Linked DNA regions of Xenopus tropicalis. The protein of the gene in region 3 purifies or fractionates together with the protein of the main gene of each other region. This does not show direct contact. Links are inferred from orthologs where the notes say so. Each region holds a gene or a part of one and is shown on either strand. Other genes may lie near its edges.

Region 1 (5,779 bases), on a different chromosome or scaffold from region 3:
TCATAGTAAGTGCCTCTCAATTCTACATTAAAGACAAAGACAGTTGTGAAATAGGGTCCAAGATGGTGTGCATATGTGCTGAATGCAGCATAACCTTTGAGATATAAAATTGTACAAAAAAAAAAAAAAAAAGTCCATGAAACTTACCCTAAAATCATTTTTAAATTTCTTTAAATCATCAAGCTGTTTCCTTTGTTCGGAAGCCATTGGAGATACTAGTTTAAAACAAGAAAATCTAAGTTAATTAATTTAAGTAGGGAGGGAAATATAAACATGTTCAAAGTCTCTGTAAATGTTATTAAATGGTTAGTGAAATAGATTCTACATGGACTACTAGTATGTGACCTGTTATCCAGAAAGCTCCATGTCCCAAGCATTCTGTATAAGGGGTCTTTCCATAATTTGGATCTCCATACCTTTAAGGAACAGAAACACCAAAAAATGAAAGTGTTTTTCAGTAATTAAAATATAATGTACTGTTGGACTGCACTGGTACAACTAGTGCCTTTGCTTTAGAAACTTTAGTTTATATAAATAAGCTGCTGGTTAGCCATGGAGGCAGCCATTCAAGCTGGAAAAGGAGTAAAGACACAGGTTACATAGCACATACCAGATAAGCTCTGTAGTATACAGTGGGATTCTGCTTCTGCACAGCTTATTTACTATGTATCATGTGCTTGAATAGCTGCCTTCATGGCAATTTCTTTTTTTTTTTAATAAACTATAGTCATGAAGCAAAACAGTTTTTACCACTGCAGGGGCACAGTACATTATATTGCCATAAATTATTATTTTTTACTAGACATAAAGGAACAGTAACATTTAAAATTGAATCATTTAAACATTAAACCCAATAGGATTGTTTTGCCCCAATAAGTATTAATTATATATTATACAAGGTACAGGTTTATTATAACAGAGAAAGGGTAAATCTTTTAAATTTTGATTTATTTCATTCAAATGGAGTCTATGGAAAATGGCCTTCCCATAATTTGTAACTTTCTGAATATCTGGGTTTCCAGATAACAGATCCCATATCTGTGTAATGTAATAACTCCAATATTAAGGAGGTATAAAGTGGCTACATTATAATACAAGTAGGTTTATTCCACTGTTAAATCAAAACCAGACAACCTACTGCATGAAGAGAGAGAATGGAGACAAATGATGAGAGGAGAGGTTGAAGAGTAACTTAGTAATTTCAGAAACAGAACAGAATTTTTAATTGATTAGAAGCATAGTATTTCAGTCAGGTGAGGCTTAAAATTTTAATTTTTTCTATAGATCCCTTTTAAATTTTAAATGCAACTTCATTTTCAGCTCATGTCCCCCAAGACATCTGCTAAAAAAAAAAAAAATTTCACGTTGTGCTTTTTTATTTTAGAGCTCTTTCGCTAAAGGAAAATTCTTAACATGACAAGTTTTTTCCACAACCAACGCAATTTTCCTCAAATCAGAATACCCAAATTAGGGTTTGAACTCAGTACAGGTATGGAAACTTATCGTTATACCTTTAGTCAACCCAAAAATAAATTTAAACATTAAACACAATAGGATTGTTTTGCCCCCAATAAGGATTATTATCTCTTATAGCTTATTATATTTTAGTTGAGATTCCCAAGGTACCATTTTATTATTAAAATAGACAAAAAAAAAAAAATTTGAATTATTAGATTCAAATGCAGTCTATAAGAGAGAGACTTCCAGTGGTTCAGAGCTTTCTGGATAACCGTTCCCATACCTGTACAGCAATGATCCCAACGAAGTGTCTTGTGAGCAACATGTTGCTCGCCACCCCTTTCATGTTGCTCCCTGTGGCCTTAAAGTATAAATTAAAAATTTGTGGCTTGGCTGCACGTTTTGGAAGTACAGAGACACAGTTGTACTCCAAGCAGAGCATCTAACAGGCTAGCCGTCCACATAGGGCAACCAAATAGCCAATCACAGCCCTTATTGACATCTCCAATGAACTTTTTTCATGCTTGTGTTGTTTGCCAACACTTTTTGCATCTGTGTGTGGCTCATGCGTAAAAAATGTTGGGGAATCCTACTGTACAGTATTCAGAAAAAACAACTTAAAAATTTACAGATTTAGTGTACTCTTAAAGGTGTTGCTCGCCTTCAATGTTCAAATCTTATTATTAAACCACCACCAATGCTCTCAGCGTATTAGAAGAAAATCCATTTTCCATAAAATACCTGTTAAATCAGTCCTTGGGTGTCTGACCAGTTTTCTAAAGGGATGGGCGTGGCCTGTTTTGAACCTGACATTTCCTATACGTTTACATCACCACATTCAGGATTTGCCCTTACTTTTTTCCTGTTGGATCAATTCATTGGTTGCTTGTGCACTCTAACCAGCTGCATAATCTGAAAGGTCATTGGTTAATTTCTCCCTCGATATGACATAGGTAAACTAACTCCGTGCGTTAGATTTGTGATATGCTGTTATTTTCGATTTGACAGGAAACACAGCCAATAGGAGTTAAGTCTGCTGCCAATACTATGCATGACATCATATAAGGAAACCTGTGCAGAAGTGAGGGATCAGCAGGATGACGGAGGTAAATCCCTCTTAGCTGCACATTTTTATTATGTAAATGGAAAAAGATTGTTCTATTAATGTGAAGTTTGTTGGCACACAATTTTGACTCACATCTCAGCCAGAATTTTGGATGTTAATATGCACTGTGTATGTTTTTATGTAAGAAATAAACTTTCCTAATTTAAGAGGGGAGGCCCAAACAAACAATACATAATAAAGAATGCAAACAATAACCATAAGAATTTGACTACGACTTCCCACTTATCTTGCTTATGAACATTCAAACCAATCAATGAGACAGCATACTGAACCTACCTTTGTTTTCAGTTTTACTACAACTAGATTCACTTTGTTTACTATTTTCTCTGCAAGCAGCTGGGGAATTTTGCCTCTGATCTTGCAGTCTTGAATCCTTAGCTACAAAGGGAATGTCAGAGTACAGGGTTATAATCTCCTCTGCATGATAAAACTAACGTACAAACCACGACCTACCAGAATACAAACTCAGCTTTTGAAATGATCCAATGCGCATGAGCAACAGAACTGAGCAGTCTTGACACAGCTTTTCTCTGGCATCATCCAATATCTCAGACATTCACAGAGTGTGTGCCTACTAGCTTTTCCTCTGATATGTCACTGTTCACAGCAACAAGCAGATGCCAGGCTAAAAGATGTCTAACTTGTGGCTAAATCACAGATTTGATTCTTTATAATTGCAGCTGTAGCTAAGCTGCCTGCTACAGGGCTAGTTGATAGACAATGACAATATACCATATGGGAGGAACAAAGATGACTACGGTCTGGGGCTATTAACACTAATAACCTTCTTTAAATCTGGCTATACGCTGACATTAACCGTCAACAAATAAGGACCAGAAATTGTCAAAAACTGCATATTAAGTTTTACATTGGAATAGGTTTATCTTCATCTTAAAGCCCTACACATGGATCATTTCCTATGAAATGTAATTTTTGCTCCCACAAACATGATCAGATCATATTCTATTTAGCTTTACCTACTTATGAACAAACTACAGTTCTCTTTACGCAGCTCTGTTCATCTTCCACTCAAGTCCAGGTAAAATAGAGTGGTCAGGCTGGAAAACCACTAAAGCAGGCATTTTTAGGCTGACCTCCACTCCACGTACTTGCACTCAAATGGAAACTGTACTAAGTGCAAGTAAACAAAGATACGTAAGGGAGCTGTTCCTCTTCTCAGCCTGCAGAAAAAAACGCAGGCCAAGAGAAGTTCAGCAAAAGGTCTGTGTGCCCATATCCTTAAGGATACGAAGGGGTACGCCCCCAAAACATTGCTGTTATTCTTAAATAAACACGCAGGAGCCCCGCTTGCATCACACTTGTTGTGCCGGTCAATTGCTTTTTCTGCATATCCTTAAGGTGGACATATATGATAAGATCTTTTCCCCCCCAATATGCCCACCTAAGGTAGGCAATATTGGGCCAATTCGATCTTTGGATCAAACCTGCCCAGTCGACACCTGGCCAATTTTCAGCCAGATATCAGTTAGGTAGGGCTATCGGGGGTCCCCATACATGGGCAGATAAACTGGCGAAACGATCTAAAGGTCTAGAATTAGCAGCTTAAATCTGCCTGTATATGGCCACCTTTAGTCCACACCTATTGTTACAATGAGGTTATAGTTACCATGTGGGAGGTGATATGAAGGTTATGATCAGATTGCAAGTGAAACAAACATTTCTTTGGCCAACTGCCTCCCTTCATATAAAGCCAGATGATTAAGTCAAGATTGCTGCAAGAAAAGCCTGTTACTTGTGGCAATCTAAGGTTAAGATTTGTCGCCCAAGGTTAAATCTGCACTACTGCAGGCAACAAATCTCTACCATATGCCATCACCCTTAGGGGCATATTTATCAAATGGCGAACTCTAACATTCACAAATTTATTTTGCCCGTGCGTGGCCCACAGTAGTCTTTAAGCTAACAGACCCATCATCATTTCAGTCTTCTACTGACCCTAAAAGATTTTACAGAATTGGTTCAAGAAAAGTTTTTAAACAAGAAAGTTTAATTTCTAGAAATAAAATAGTAAAATGTCAACAATGTACCTTCACAAGAGGGAGTAACGGCTCTGTTAGATGCAGGGCTAGCAGGTGTAGGGGATGCGGCAGGCACTGGCATAGAAACCGACTCGGGAGGTACTGTACTAGGCTGGGGTGATGACACATTTGAACCTGGTGCATGACTTCCTAGCCTTGGAGACCTCGGCCGGTGTGTCTTTGGAGATAACCTTTGAACTGTAGAAAGGAAAAAAAAAAAAAAAAAAAATATATATATATATATATATATATATATATATAAAATTTACAGAATAGTCCGCACTCCCATATCACTCATATTTCACATAGTTTCTCTGGGTGCTGCAAAACGGTTGTTCCATGTATACAATATTCCAAGGATTGTGCGCACTCCAATTCCAAATGTTAAACTTTACATCAACGTTTCGGTCATGGTCTAAGACCTTGTTCACGATGTTATACCCTTAATATAAATTACATACAATAAAACTTTATATACAAGATTAATCCCACCCACTGGTCACATGTCAGCCAACCGGCCCCACCCCCCTCCCCAGACATTAACCATGTCATCAAAGGGGTGCGGGAAATCCCTATTCACACAGGTATGAGGCACAATGACTACTAAACTTCCCTGCATAATACTACCTCAAGTCACTTAAAGTCACCTAACTGGCAAAAAACAATGCAGAGAACAATACTCATTTAGCCCCCTTGGTGAGTGTATCAAGTTTTCTAATCCAAAAGGATTCACGTTGGAGTAGCAACCTGTACCAACGTACGAAAGCCCACACGGGCATGTGACAAGGTAAATTACATGGGTTGTGGTACACGTAATCCGATGCCGTATTTTAAATCTCTGTCCCGTGTGTGGGTGTGTAAAAGTCTCACCAGGTGTCATAACGGCAGGATATGCATGTCTGGCACCTAAAGCACCCTAATTTAATATCATTTAATATCATTCATTGACTTGAGGTAGTATTATGCAGGGAAGTTTAGTAGTCATTGTGCCTCATACGGATTTCCCGCACCCCTTTGATGACATGGTTAATGTCTGGGGAGGGGGGTGGGGCCGGTTGGCTGACATGTGACCAGTGGGTGGGATTAATCTTGTATATAAAGTTTTATTGTATGTAATTTATATTAAGGGTATAACATCGTGAACAAGGTCTTAGAC
Region 2 (5,779 bases), on a different chromosome or scaffold from region 3:
GGTTTAAAATTCAGGTGGTGGCCACTGGCTCAGACTGTGCTACACCTGAGCTTTCCTGCAGACTTCAATGTAACAGCATTATAAAGAGTCAATATATTAAAGTCCCCATAAAGTTAAGTCTACTCAAAAGTATACAGACATACAAAGTAGAAGGTAGAAGTTTCTACTGCAAGCAGGGCCAGACTGGGCCACCGGGAAAAATCCCGGTGGGCCCTGGCAGCCCAGACCCGACCCTTGCCAGTGCTCCCCCTGCCGTGTTAAAATTATGCGTTTGGGGGATGATGTCGGGTGGGGGGGCCCTGCGAGAGGGTTAGGGGGGCCCCTGGGGTGGGAGCACCGGTGGGCCCTTCACCCCCCAGTCCAACCCTGACTGCAAGAAGTTTAACAGCCATGGATTTTACTGCTAGAAATGCTTTTAGGTAACCTGTTTTTTCTTACTCCCATGTAACTGGAGGAGTCTCAAGCAAGCCTTGATTTTCTTAAGGTGGCCCCATACACCAAGATCTGCTTGCTTGGCGACGTCACTATGGCAACATCTAAATGTTTCCACTGGAATGGGCAAAGATAGGAGAGTCAGCGATGACATTTGGTAGGGTCATGTAACCCAAATATCTCAATCCAGGCATAGATTAAGATTACTGCACGTGGAGGGCTTGGGGACTCCTAACTCCACATGCGTAAACCAGATTTTCAAAACTAAAAAACTTTGATCTCTGCAATCATGGCTTCAATATTTTTTGAGTTGATTGTACATTACAAACAAAGTTGAGGAGGCCAAGAGGCAGGTTGCTGGTAAGCACATGTATACATAATGGCCATCAGATTTTAGAGCTCAGTTATACAAATATTAGAACAGCAAACAGATCTGCTCTTATTGGCCATGTTTGATCAGAAGACATGCCTTCCTCCTAAGTAGGTTTTTTGTTCTAGACATGCCTCTGCTTTGTTTTTATTTAGTGCATACCTTCGCTACATCTTCCATCTCTTACTTTAAAGTCAATTAAATACTTATCTTGTGGCTTGGGTGCTTTAAGACATATATTCGGATTAGCCACCTGTTCTCTCTAAAGAAATCTGCACTTGAATTCCAGCAGCAACCCCATGTTATAAGGCAGAATTGTTTATATGTACTACTGAATAGGTTTCATCCTTTCTAGCAGCAGAGTTCATAGTAAAACAAAACTACCACTGGAATTCAGAGCGCAGATTTCTTCAGAAAGACAGTGCAAAAATGAAGGGCAGGACTTTGGCAAGCTTAGTCACTGTTCATTTGTTTATGAAAAAGTCCGTTACCTATGGGAAACAGTAACTCCCATCTTGCAATTCGGCCTGGACTCTGAGAACAGATCTCTGTGCAACTGACTAGTAAACATGTTCTATAGGTAAACAACTTCATTTTTTTGGGGATTTATTCACTGGAAGAGTGACCCATTAACTATATATACTAACAAGTCACACAAAGGACAAGTTGCAAACATGAATCTGAACCAAAATAATAGAGTTCTGTACTTGCCATAAACTTCTGAACACTGAGGGGAAATGTGGCTGAGTAAAGTAGAATCTGTCTGTTTTTAGGTAGCGTGATAATTATATCCTCCATTATTTGCACAAAATCCTGAGACAGTAGTTTGTCTGCCTACAAAAAAAAAAAAAAAGTTGGCAGAAAATAGTTAACATTTATAATTTACCATAACTAAAATAGTCATTTATAAACATGAAAGTAACAAAATTAAAAAAAAAAAAAAGCACTATTTGACACATTTATATGTGAATACTTTTACATTTAGATACAAATTGTCCTTTATGAAAAAGTAATAGCTGTAACACTTCTAGACAAACAGCTTTAAATCTTAGTCTGGAGCCTGAAGCTAAAACTTCAATTAAAAAAAAAAAATCTTACTTGTTTGACAGAGCAGCCAGATTTTTATTGTAATTATTAATCATCTATAAGTCAATTATTCAAATTACTATATTGTTGCTAGGATCAGTGGAATCTCCTGTGCTTCTGCAAATACAATGTGTGGTGTACAGTAATACCAGCACTGCTAAAATATTTCTATGACTGCAGGCAAGGAGGGCACAGACTTTAAAATGTATATTAAAAAAAAAAAAAAAAAAAAAAAAAGAGCGAGTGCTAAAATAGCCTGTGAAAAACACCGGAGCAGTCTAATTGTAACACTATAGATTAAATGCTTTACCTCATCCAACACGATCATCTGGATATGGTCTACTTTAGCCACACCTTTTTTAATGAGATCCAGAATCCTGCCAGGAGTTGCTATTACTACATGTACTAGAGAAGGGGAAAACACTCATGTTATTACATTTCATTATATGCATTTTATAGACTCTTTGTTCTATGCAAAAAAATATTTAAAGCTAAAAGCAGTTATCTACTTGCAATAAAGTCATTCTGAAAGTTATTCAAACTTCTTTACCTGTATCATCAAGCCTCATTATATCATCTCTCAGATTTGTGCCCCCTGTTGTCGCCATGACTTTGACCCCGCCCATGTGCTTGCTGACCTGGATGCAAATCTGACTGACCTGTAGTGCCAGTTCTCGAGTAGGAACAATCACCATTGCTACATGGAGAAGAGATGGAAACATAGAACACATTAAAATTGTAACATGCATGAGTGACTTTAGCATCTATAGCCTCAACAGCACCAAACTGTCTTCATGTATACATTATAATTGTCTAACCTATCAAGTCATCTCATGGGATTAATTTGGTTCCTTCACAAGTAAACTTAAGGTACCCTCTAAGTGGTGCAGGTGCCAGTTAGCTTACAGAGAAATGGGCAGTAAAAATTGTGGCAAGACAAACCAGTAAAACTCTGATGTGTTAATCACTGGTCAACAAGTTCTTGTGTGGAACCACAATAAAGTGGCATCCTAACCTCATGTAAAAGTTGCAGAACTGAAAGTAAACAGGAGAGGGTTCCCACTTCTGACATTGCGCGTGTGACTGCTTGGTGGTTGGGGCCTTTTATCCCAGAAGGGAAAGAGGCCTACTAGAACGGTTTCAAGACTAAGGGGGCGTTATTTATTGACACTGGAGACAAACTTCACTGGTGATGCTGCCCATAGCAAGAAATCAGATCTTTGCTTATGTTTTCTGAAGCTTGCTATACACGTTATGATTTTTAATAGATCTTTTCGTTATTGTAGGATCAGCTTATCCTGAAACTATCATTTGAAAGCACAATTTGTCCAACTAAATGACCATTTCAAGCAATATTGTCTAGTTGAAGCTATGAAAACTACCCTGCTTGGTCCTATAAACAATTGGACAATGGGCAAAAGAAAATTTTTTAAACCATCTGACCTTTTTTTCTGACTGGACCAGATATGCTGGATGAAAAAATGCTAGATGTGCAATTGTATGGTGCCCACTAACCTTATGATAATTTGCTGGATCGCACTGAAATTGGTCATTAAGTTGCAGGTGACTGTTCAAATCTAATTACTGACTGGTTGCTATAGGCAACATCACCAGTTTTTTCACTAGAAGATACTTTCCCTTCGAAACTTGCCTTGTATACAGTCCTTCTTTAGGTCTAGCCGTTCAAGTAAGGGAATGAGGTAGGCTCCACTCTTGCCAGTTCCATTTTTTGCTCTAGCCAAGATATCCCTACCGGACAATGCAATGGGAATGCTCTCCTCCTAAAAAAAAAAAAAAAAAAAAATTATGATACATATATCTCAGAACTGTGCGAATGTTTAACAGACTGGTTACTTTTAGAAGACCATTTTATACCAACCTGTATTGGAGATGGTTTCTCCCATCCCATTTCAAATATCCCCATGAGCAGCTCTCTTTTTAAACAGTAATCTTCAAATTCATTTCCTTTTGTGGAGGTGACATCCTGGGTGACAGGTTTAGGAAAAGATTAGTTTATTTTGTATATATGATTTAGATCCCAGATTTCCCTCCAGAGGGACACTTACAAACAACCTATGGTTGAAAAACTTTACTGGTACTCCCAATAGAATCTTTGTTAGAATATGCCCACTGCTCGTAACAATCTCTGTGAAGATGCACAAACTAGGATGTGGGTAGCCAATTCCAGCTTTGCTGGTCACCTTCGCCTAATTGCCAATAGTCTGCCATACTACAAATGAAAGTGGTGGAGCAGTTGGCTGGTGCAAGGGAATTATTCAGAAAAACAGTACAAAATCATCCAGATTGGTTAAAAGCAAATTTATTCTATGTGAGGTACTGACAAGTTTGTACCCTTTTTGTGTTATAAAGGATGCTAGCTTAAAAAAAAAAAAAATCTTTTGCATCTCACCGAAGTCTTGATTCTAAGGTCTTTTGGAGGGAGTTTTAATGTCTTCTTCCAGTCATCACCAGGTCTGCAAGTAAACAAAATAGTTCAAATGTATTATTAAACATCAGTAAAATGTATGATGGCACATATTTGCGTTATAAGTTATTCCTATACATGAACATTTGTAGATTACCCTAACAATAGACTGTGCTATTATGTGCTTATTATGGCCAGAGCATATTTGACCACAGACATTTGATGTAATGGATTTGTGGCCCAATGTATGAAAAGGGTGCAGACAAAACCAATATAGAGTTTTGCTTTGAAGACCACTTCTGGCCACTATTTAAAGGCAAGTCATGTCAGCAGTTGTAAATGCATGTCTGTAATAACTATGCAGTTCAATTTTAATAACAAGCGCCATATACTACAAAGTGCTACTACACAAACCTGCAGAAGATTCCAAGATGACTAAGCAATTGTACAAAAGACTAGACATTACAAATACACATCTCAGGACACTTCCATTATTATGAATAGCATGTTTTGTTTTCTTAAAAATAAAACATGGATAAACCAGAGGCCCAAATAAGGTTTTTATAAGTGGTGATAAAACAAAGGTAGAGTATACTCACTTTATAACGCTGCTCATGCTCTGTGCTTGCTGCTGACTGCCACTGTTGATTGTGCTGGCATTTTTCAGCTGGTTTATTTGTTGTGTCTGTGTCCCCCCACCTCCAGGCCCTGCACTGGGTTTCAATGGGCCTCTTAGCTGCCCATTCTGGCTGGACATACCCATTAAAACAGGGTTCTCGGTTCTGGCGGTGCTCATTTTGTTTTGTATTTAATTAAATTGTCCCTTTGAAGGTGTGTCTTTTCAGCTTCACAAGGTTTAAAGTCAGTACAGAGACTGTAATAAGTTTATTTGACTCTTCGAAATGAAGAGATAAAGTCTTGCTCAATATATGAGTCTTTGTTATTGCAACACAAGCAAGTGCTTGTCCTTAAAGTCTGTCAACAGTGAAATCACTTGCTCTGGTGCACAAAATCAATTTCCTTTATTAAAAAAAGCCCAAAACTAAGAATAAAGTCCGTTCCTTCAAGTCAATCTAGAATAGAAAAAAAAAATTAAATTATTAATATACCTTAAATGAGGAAGCCCTGTTGCCAGGTTCTATTTACTATGCATTTATGGATAGTGGGAAACACTTCCACAAGCTTGAAACCAAGAGACACTGGGAGTCTCAAACACAACTTTGCAGACTGTAAAAAGCTATGGGTGAAGACAGAGGGGGCAATAAGTAGCTGCAGCTTTCGAGAAACCCCCAGTCACAGAGACTAAACACAGCCGCAGCAACTAACTAGTGTAAAATATACAAGTTGCCACGACTGTGCAATACAAGTCACTGCAACTTAGAGGTAGCATTTAGTCTCTGCAACTAGATTTATCGCCCTATTTGTCTTTGCTCTAAAATGTAGTCTTAAATCTGCACCAGTCAGCT
Region 3 (6,224 bases):
TAACAATCAGGATGGTTTGACTCAGACAGGCAATAAGAATATCATAGCCTTCCATTCTAGAGGAACTGTAGCAGAACCAAAGGCAGATCCCTGACCTAGAATGTGTGCCACAGGGCTCTGATGCAATACTTACAGCTTCACTGCAACACTGCTTTATTCTCTCTTATCAGCTCTCTGCACTCATAGATAAGTTAAGTGGCATATCCCATGGGCCACCATTAGGGGAGTACAGGGGGTAATGTAGTGAGGGGCCCTGTGGCAAAAGGAGACCCCATGATGGAAAAGCTTTATTCACAGGTCAAGAAATAAGCCAGGGCTTGTGGCAAAGTGGGCAAAGTTTGGAAGGCCCACGTGCAGAGTTTGGCATAACTGGGATGTAGCTGGTGGAGATGAGGGATGGAGTGTGGCATAATTGGGAAGTGGTCAGGGTGAATCAGGAGTGTGAATCATGCATACAAGTTGTTGATAGGCCAGGGGGGCAGGTAAATAATGACTAATAACTGGGGCCCTCTGCTAATGTAGCACTGATGGTGACCTGTATATACAGTTCTAGTGCTAGTTCTGCTGCATATATACAGGATCCTTTATAGTTACACCCCATCCTTTTATATAATATTTGTTTTATTGGTGTGATGCAAATAAGCACTTTGCAGTACAAACACCAGTGTATCAGTATATGGCATCACTTGGCACAGTATTTAGTGATGGGCATGGTACCAGGTACCTATCTGGTTCTATGTATTATTCCCATATGTTGCTTTATTGTGTATCCAGGTTTGCCACCATGCGAAATCATGGAGCCCATACCTGTCAACTCCCCTGGGCTCACCCCCTGCACTCCCATGATTATATGCCATTCCCCCATTTTCTTACAATTTCTTACTGCATGTGCAGTGAGCATTCAGTTACATGGAAAGGGCCCTTACAAAAGGCCACGGCCCCAACCAAATAGGCCACATACATATTTTTTATCAACTTATTCCCAGCTAACTGCATTAGGAAACTAGCATCTCTGGGGGCCCTATGCTATTTAGAATGTGCCTCCCCCTCTAGGGAGTCAGCGTTATAAGCCCACCTGGGCTCCCTGTGTTATAGGCTCTACCTATTAAGTAGAAGGTGGATTCAATGTAAAAAATAATGTTCACTCACCAACAGAACAACCATGACCCATTACACTCAAACCTGCTCCATAATCCACCCAAAACCTGTCCATCCACTCTGCAAACCCATTTTAGCAGTCAGTAGGGCAATTGTGTCCACCAAGGCTCCACTGCTGTTATGGGGCCAGAGATGGACCAAGTAGTATCTGTTCCCATTGCAATAATACTTGCCCCCCAACTCATGCTCATATGCCCTCAGGCATAGTCAGCCCCACTTCATTACTAAGTCCCCTATGCAGCTCTTCCCTTACTTAGTCCTTCCATTTGAACCCCACCCCACCCAGTGGCACCCAAAGCATGTGCCTGTGAATACCCCTGAAAGGACTCCCACCTGTCCTCCCATTGCACCCATCTGTTGTACAGTACTGCAGCCCGTATGATAACAAATGTAATGTAACAATTCATGCCAGTACCAAACTTGGGCACCAGTCAGGCCTCATCAAATGCTAGAAGAAACCAACTGGAGACAAGGAGATTCAAGCTCTTTATAGAACAGCCTACATATCAGTTATAGTTCAGCAGGCTCAGCCCAGACTACAGTACAGTAACAGCGAGTCTATTGTCAGGTTCGGTAAAAGCCGAGACAGCACATGAACGGCTGCTCCTCACTCACTAACAGAGACAGCCCTTGGCTACTTGCCGCTAGAGGTGCAGACTGTACAGACTTCGCTGCCCAAACATTACACAATACATTAGATAACGAGTCAGACAGCTCTGTGCCAAGTGCTGCGTTCTCTTTAAGAGATTGAGGGGGGGCGTGTCCCGCAGCCCATGCCTTCTTAAAGAGCCAGCTGGTCCAGTCAAAAGTCACTGCCACTCTTCTGATCCCAGTGTTATCAGGGGCATCCGATTCTGCTATTGCCCCAGTCATCGCACTGCTGCCATGTACACCATAACCAGAGGGCCCAGCAAGCTAACCACCCAGAGGAGAACAGGTAGGGGCTGTCCGTGCGATTCCTAACGCTGCTGCGTCTCAATTGCATAACCATCATCTGTAGAATAACCTACAGGTACAGGGAAATTGCACGTGTGTAACCTTATGGCATGCTGATAAACTACAATTCCCGACATCCTCCCATATCCTTTGGCTGATAGATAGGAATACTGCTGGGAGTTGTTGTTAGACATATGAAAGGCCATCAGTTAGCTGGATCGCTTTCTGCTTGCACTGGGACACCGTGCAATCTGCCCAGGCAGCTCCCATGCCTTTCTACTGCCCCTCTGAAGGGTTAATAGCATGCTAAGGGGAGATCGTACCAGGGCCCAGATATGTGTCTGCCATTCTATTATAGGCTGTGCGTCCCTGAGCCCTAACATTGTACTCAATGCGCACATCCTACAGCCTGCCTGGGTTCCCTATACACTGTGCGGCGCACATATGCGTCAATCCCACCCGTGTATAATGCAGCCAGCCTTGGCTTTACGAGTATGTGAAAAATATTATATACGCACAGGTTCATTATGTGGGTGCTGCTGTTAAACTACAAGACTACAATCCCCAGCATGCTTTAGCACTAGGCGCAATGGTTGGGGATTCTGGGAATTCTAGTTCTGCTGCAGCTCCTTCTCAAGGAGAGCGCTATGAGGCTCTGAGAGTCAGCGGCACTGGGCGTTTATTCATACAGGGTATAACAAGACTCTCTATGGCGTTACTGCCACTGCCTTATCTGACTACAACCCATGTATGTCCTTCCCAGGCCCCAAGCAGCAGATTGACAGCAAACTGCAAGAACTGAAGAACAAGCAGCAGCTTCTCATCCCCAATACACCTAACGGCTGGGACTCCCCTCCAAGGTCAGCTAACTCTTCATTGCCATAGTGTCATGGTGTGAATGTTGGGTGCGGAGCTGCCATGGTGCTGCCCCCCCACCTCTCCTCACGGTACTGTACTGCTCCTTACGCTGCCGCTGCGTGACCTTGTGCAGAGGTGACCATGTGCCCGGTGTCATTGTCACATGACCGGCTTGGAAGGGAGGTGTGTTTGTGAGGGGCGGGGCCAGACGGGTGGGTGTGATACGGGGCTGTTTAACCCATTACTATCTCGACGCGCTGTATTTTGATCGCCGCTTACAGCTATTTTCTAGATTAGCATGTGTACCGCAAGTGAGACGCTACTGATTAAGGTTTCTTCTACAGGAAGTGGGAACCTATAGCTGTCACTGCCCCACAGTCACCACAACCCCAAACTGCTACTGAGGATTGCGGCATGGCGAGAGGTGTAGTTCAGCAATGGTCAAAAAGCCATAGGTTGCCCTTATCTGTTCTGTAGCAGTGCTGTAAAACTATAGATCTCTGCAGGACTGCAAGGGCAAAGGGTATTAGTCATGGGGGTCCCTCAACCAGGGCGATTGTAGCTAAGAGGATGGAGGGGTCTAGCAAGACTAGTTATCCAATGTGGGGCCCACACTGGGCTAAATATCTAGGGGGACAAATGGCCTGCAAAAAAGTTTCAGTACAGTAAATGCAGGCCTGTAGGACACTAGTTATTGTACTGGGCAGCTATAATGGCATACAGGTGATTCTGCAATCAGTGTCACCCGTTTATCTCAAGGTGGAAGCTACTCCATTTTTTTTTTTAAACTTTTTAGTTTGCTAGTGATTGCAAAATAATTAGTCAGGTTAGCAGTGCACAAAAGTACCCCTGCATTATGGACTAATGTCACAACAAAGAGAGGGGTTTGTTTATACAGAGCTCAAGTATTTCTAGCTAAAACAACTCAATTATAGGTAAGATAGTAAGTGTGAAAGCAAGATAATACATTACTGCTTTATAATAGAAACCTTTAATAAATAATAGATTTTTTCAATGAAAAGAATAATCAGAATGTATTATTATATCATTAACATTTATTTATAAAGTGCCAACATATCCCGCAGCGCTGTACAATAAGTGGGTTACATACATTGGACATACAGAGTAACATATAAAGCAATCAATAACCGATACAAGAGGTGAAGAGGGCCCTGTCCAAAAGAGCTTACACGCTAAAAAGTTATAGCTTCCTTTCTGTTGGTTTTGTTGTTTATGTAGGTATAATGTCTTATTAAATAATGGGAAGGGAGCATGCTGTGGCAGGTATCTTGAACTACAGCTCCCAGCATCCTCCTGACAACCCAATGCAATCATTTTTTTTTCTTTTAGCTGTAGTCAGTTATGATATTATTTTGTCAGTGATTTGTGGTGATTTTTCAGCCCTGTATCTCTGTGTATTATGTGCTGGCCCGCCCCGCTACCTGCCTGGTGTCCGAGGTTCTGATTGCTATGAATGGCATGTTTTGGTCTGCAGGACAAACCTACATTATTTCTGTGGGGGAGGAGAATTTCTCTCAGATTTGTAAGAGAACAGGGCAGGGTACATTGTGTTGTGCAGCACCTTGGGTGTGTGCCCAGTGCCAGTCATTGATATACCTGAGGGCTATGCAACGCACGGGGATTTTGGGTGCCACTTGGACTGAGGCCGAGTAGCCGTGCTTTTAAGCACTTCACGTGCCATTAGGGTGCTAATTTGATGTATCCCTGACATGAAGTTATTTGACATGGCCGCTTCCCTAAAGTGGTCTGACCCTGTTAGTGACCTTCTGTGTGTCCTTGAGATGGCTCCGCCCCCTCTGCCTCATGGTTTCATAGGGATTGAACTTTGACCTCATGTTTTGAGATATTTTACTTTAGAGCCAATTGTACGAGTTGGCTCCATTACGGTGACTCCTCTCAGTGCCACAGACTGGGATTTCTAGTCAGGGAGGTAAATTCCTGTTGGAAGATGAGTTAAATCACATGACAAAAATCCAGTTTTTTTTTTTTTTTTAGGGTAAAATTACACATTTATCACAAGGTATGTTACCAGCTACCTGGATGACCCAGCCTTAAAGGAGTACTTTACCTTTAAATTACCTTTAGTGTGAAATTCTGAGTTTGCAATTGGTCTTCATTTTTTATAAATTTTTCATACATTTAGCTTTTTATTCAGCAGTTTCCAGCTTGGTATTTGAGCAGCTATCTGGGTGCTAGGATCTTATTGCCATAGCAATCAGGCAGTGGTTTGAATAACAGACTGGAATAAGAATACGATGGGGACTGAATAGAAGGATAAGTAATACAAGATAACAATAATAATACAATTGTTGCCTCAAAGAGCCATCAATTTTTTTTTTGCCTGCTGGCAGGGTCGGACTGGGGGCCCCACACCCCCCAAGGTGCCTCCTCCGGCCATGTCCCCTGCAGGAGCCCCCACCGCGCACCCCTAAATTCCCCCCCACAGGGGCCCCTGTCTGACGTCCTCCCCTAAACACATATGTGAAACGTGTCAGGGGAGGACATCGGAGGCCAGAGGAAGCAGCAATAGGGTCGGGTCCGCTGGGGCCCACCAGGGCTCGGGGCCATCGGGTTTTTCCCGGCGGCCCAGTCCAACCCTGCCTGCTGGGGTTACTCCCATCTGAAAGCTGGAAAGAAGTAAAAGATAAAGCCAAATTACTCAGAAACTAGAAAGAATAAATAATGAAGACCATTGCATTTGTGTGACATTGGTGTCAGTCATAGCCTGTCACATGTAGGGTGCCTGATGTCACTTCAGTGGGTGACGCCAGTTCCACCGGAAGTGATGTTACATGTGCCTGCGATTGCCATGGGAACCCTCACCCCACAGCTCTGCCGGTGGATTTGGCCAGGAAGCATCTGGCTCCTGCGGAGGGGTTTTATTCTTTTTTTTATCTTTATTATCAATTGTATATCCACCCAATGGTAACCCCAGGCACAGGCCCTCTGCTGCCTCGTATATATATATAGGAGTGCTCAGAAAGCAAAAGCTGCTGTTCAGCTACTTGTAATAGAGAAACAAAATAAAAATGCATGCAGGAAGAAAGGTAAGTTATTCTGGGGGCGCTGGTTTGTGATCCTTCAGACACCAAGTATCCCCTTTTCTTCTTAATTTGGTTCTCCTTTGTATCTACAGCAGTGCACCTCCAAAACTCGTATTTAACCGTGTAAATGGTAAGAGGACGCAGACGCCAGGCACTGAACTAGAAAGAGAGGTGTACACGATGGCACACGAAGAGAACGTCAGATTC

The links.
Region 1: the proteins of mcrip2 (region 3) and atxn2 purify together in Homo sapiens (co-immunoprecipitation; 3 studies listed by BioGRID and IntAct, with this or other methods). This does not show direct contact. The link is inferred for Xenopus tropicalis from reciprocal best matches to the Homo sapiens genes MCRIP2 and ATXN2.
Region 2: the proteins of mcrip2 (region 3) and ddx6 purify together in Homo sapiens (co-immunoprecipitation; 5 studies listed by BioGRID and IntAct, with this or other methods). This does not show direct contact. The link is inferred for Xenopus tropicalis from reciprocal best matches to the Homo sapiens genes MCRIP2 and DDX6.

Annotation. Positions count from the first base shown.
Region 1 is NC_030677.2:163,126,417-163,132,195, reverse strand, and holds part of atxn2 (ataxin-2), read right to left. Parts: intron 4,822-5,779; coding exon 4,633-4,821; intron 2,963-4,632; coding exon 2,861-2,962; intron 216-2,860; coding exon 148-215; intron 1-147. UniProt on the Homo sapiens protein: Involved in EGFR trafficking, acting as negative regulator of endocytic EGFR internalization at the plasma membrane.
Region 2 is NC_030683.2:80,842,386-80,848,164, forward strand, and holds part of ddx6 (probable ATP-dependent RNA helicase ddx6), read right to left. Parts: intron 5,387-5,779; 5' UTR 5,110-5,386; coding exon 4,913-5,109; intron 4,363-4,912; coding exon 4,299-4,362; intron 3,873-4,298; coding exon 3,768-3,872; intron 3,670-3,767; coding exon 3,540-3,669; intron 2,586-3,539; coding exon 2,439-2,585; intron 2,294-2,438; coding exon 2,199-2,293; intron 1,637-2,198; coding exon 1,514-1,636; intron 1-1,513.
Region 3 is NC_030685.2:21,688,046-21,694,269, reverse strand, and holds the start of mcrip2 (protein FAM195A), read left to right. Parts: upstream 1-2,004; 5' UTR 2,005-2,043; coding exon 2,044-2,095; intron 2,096-2,857; coding exon 2,858-2,954; intron 2,955-6,109; coding exon 6,110-6,224.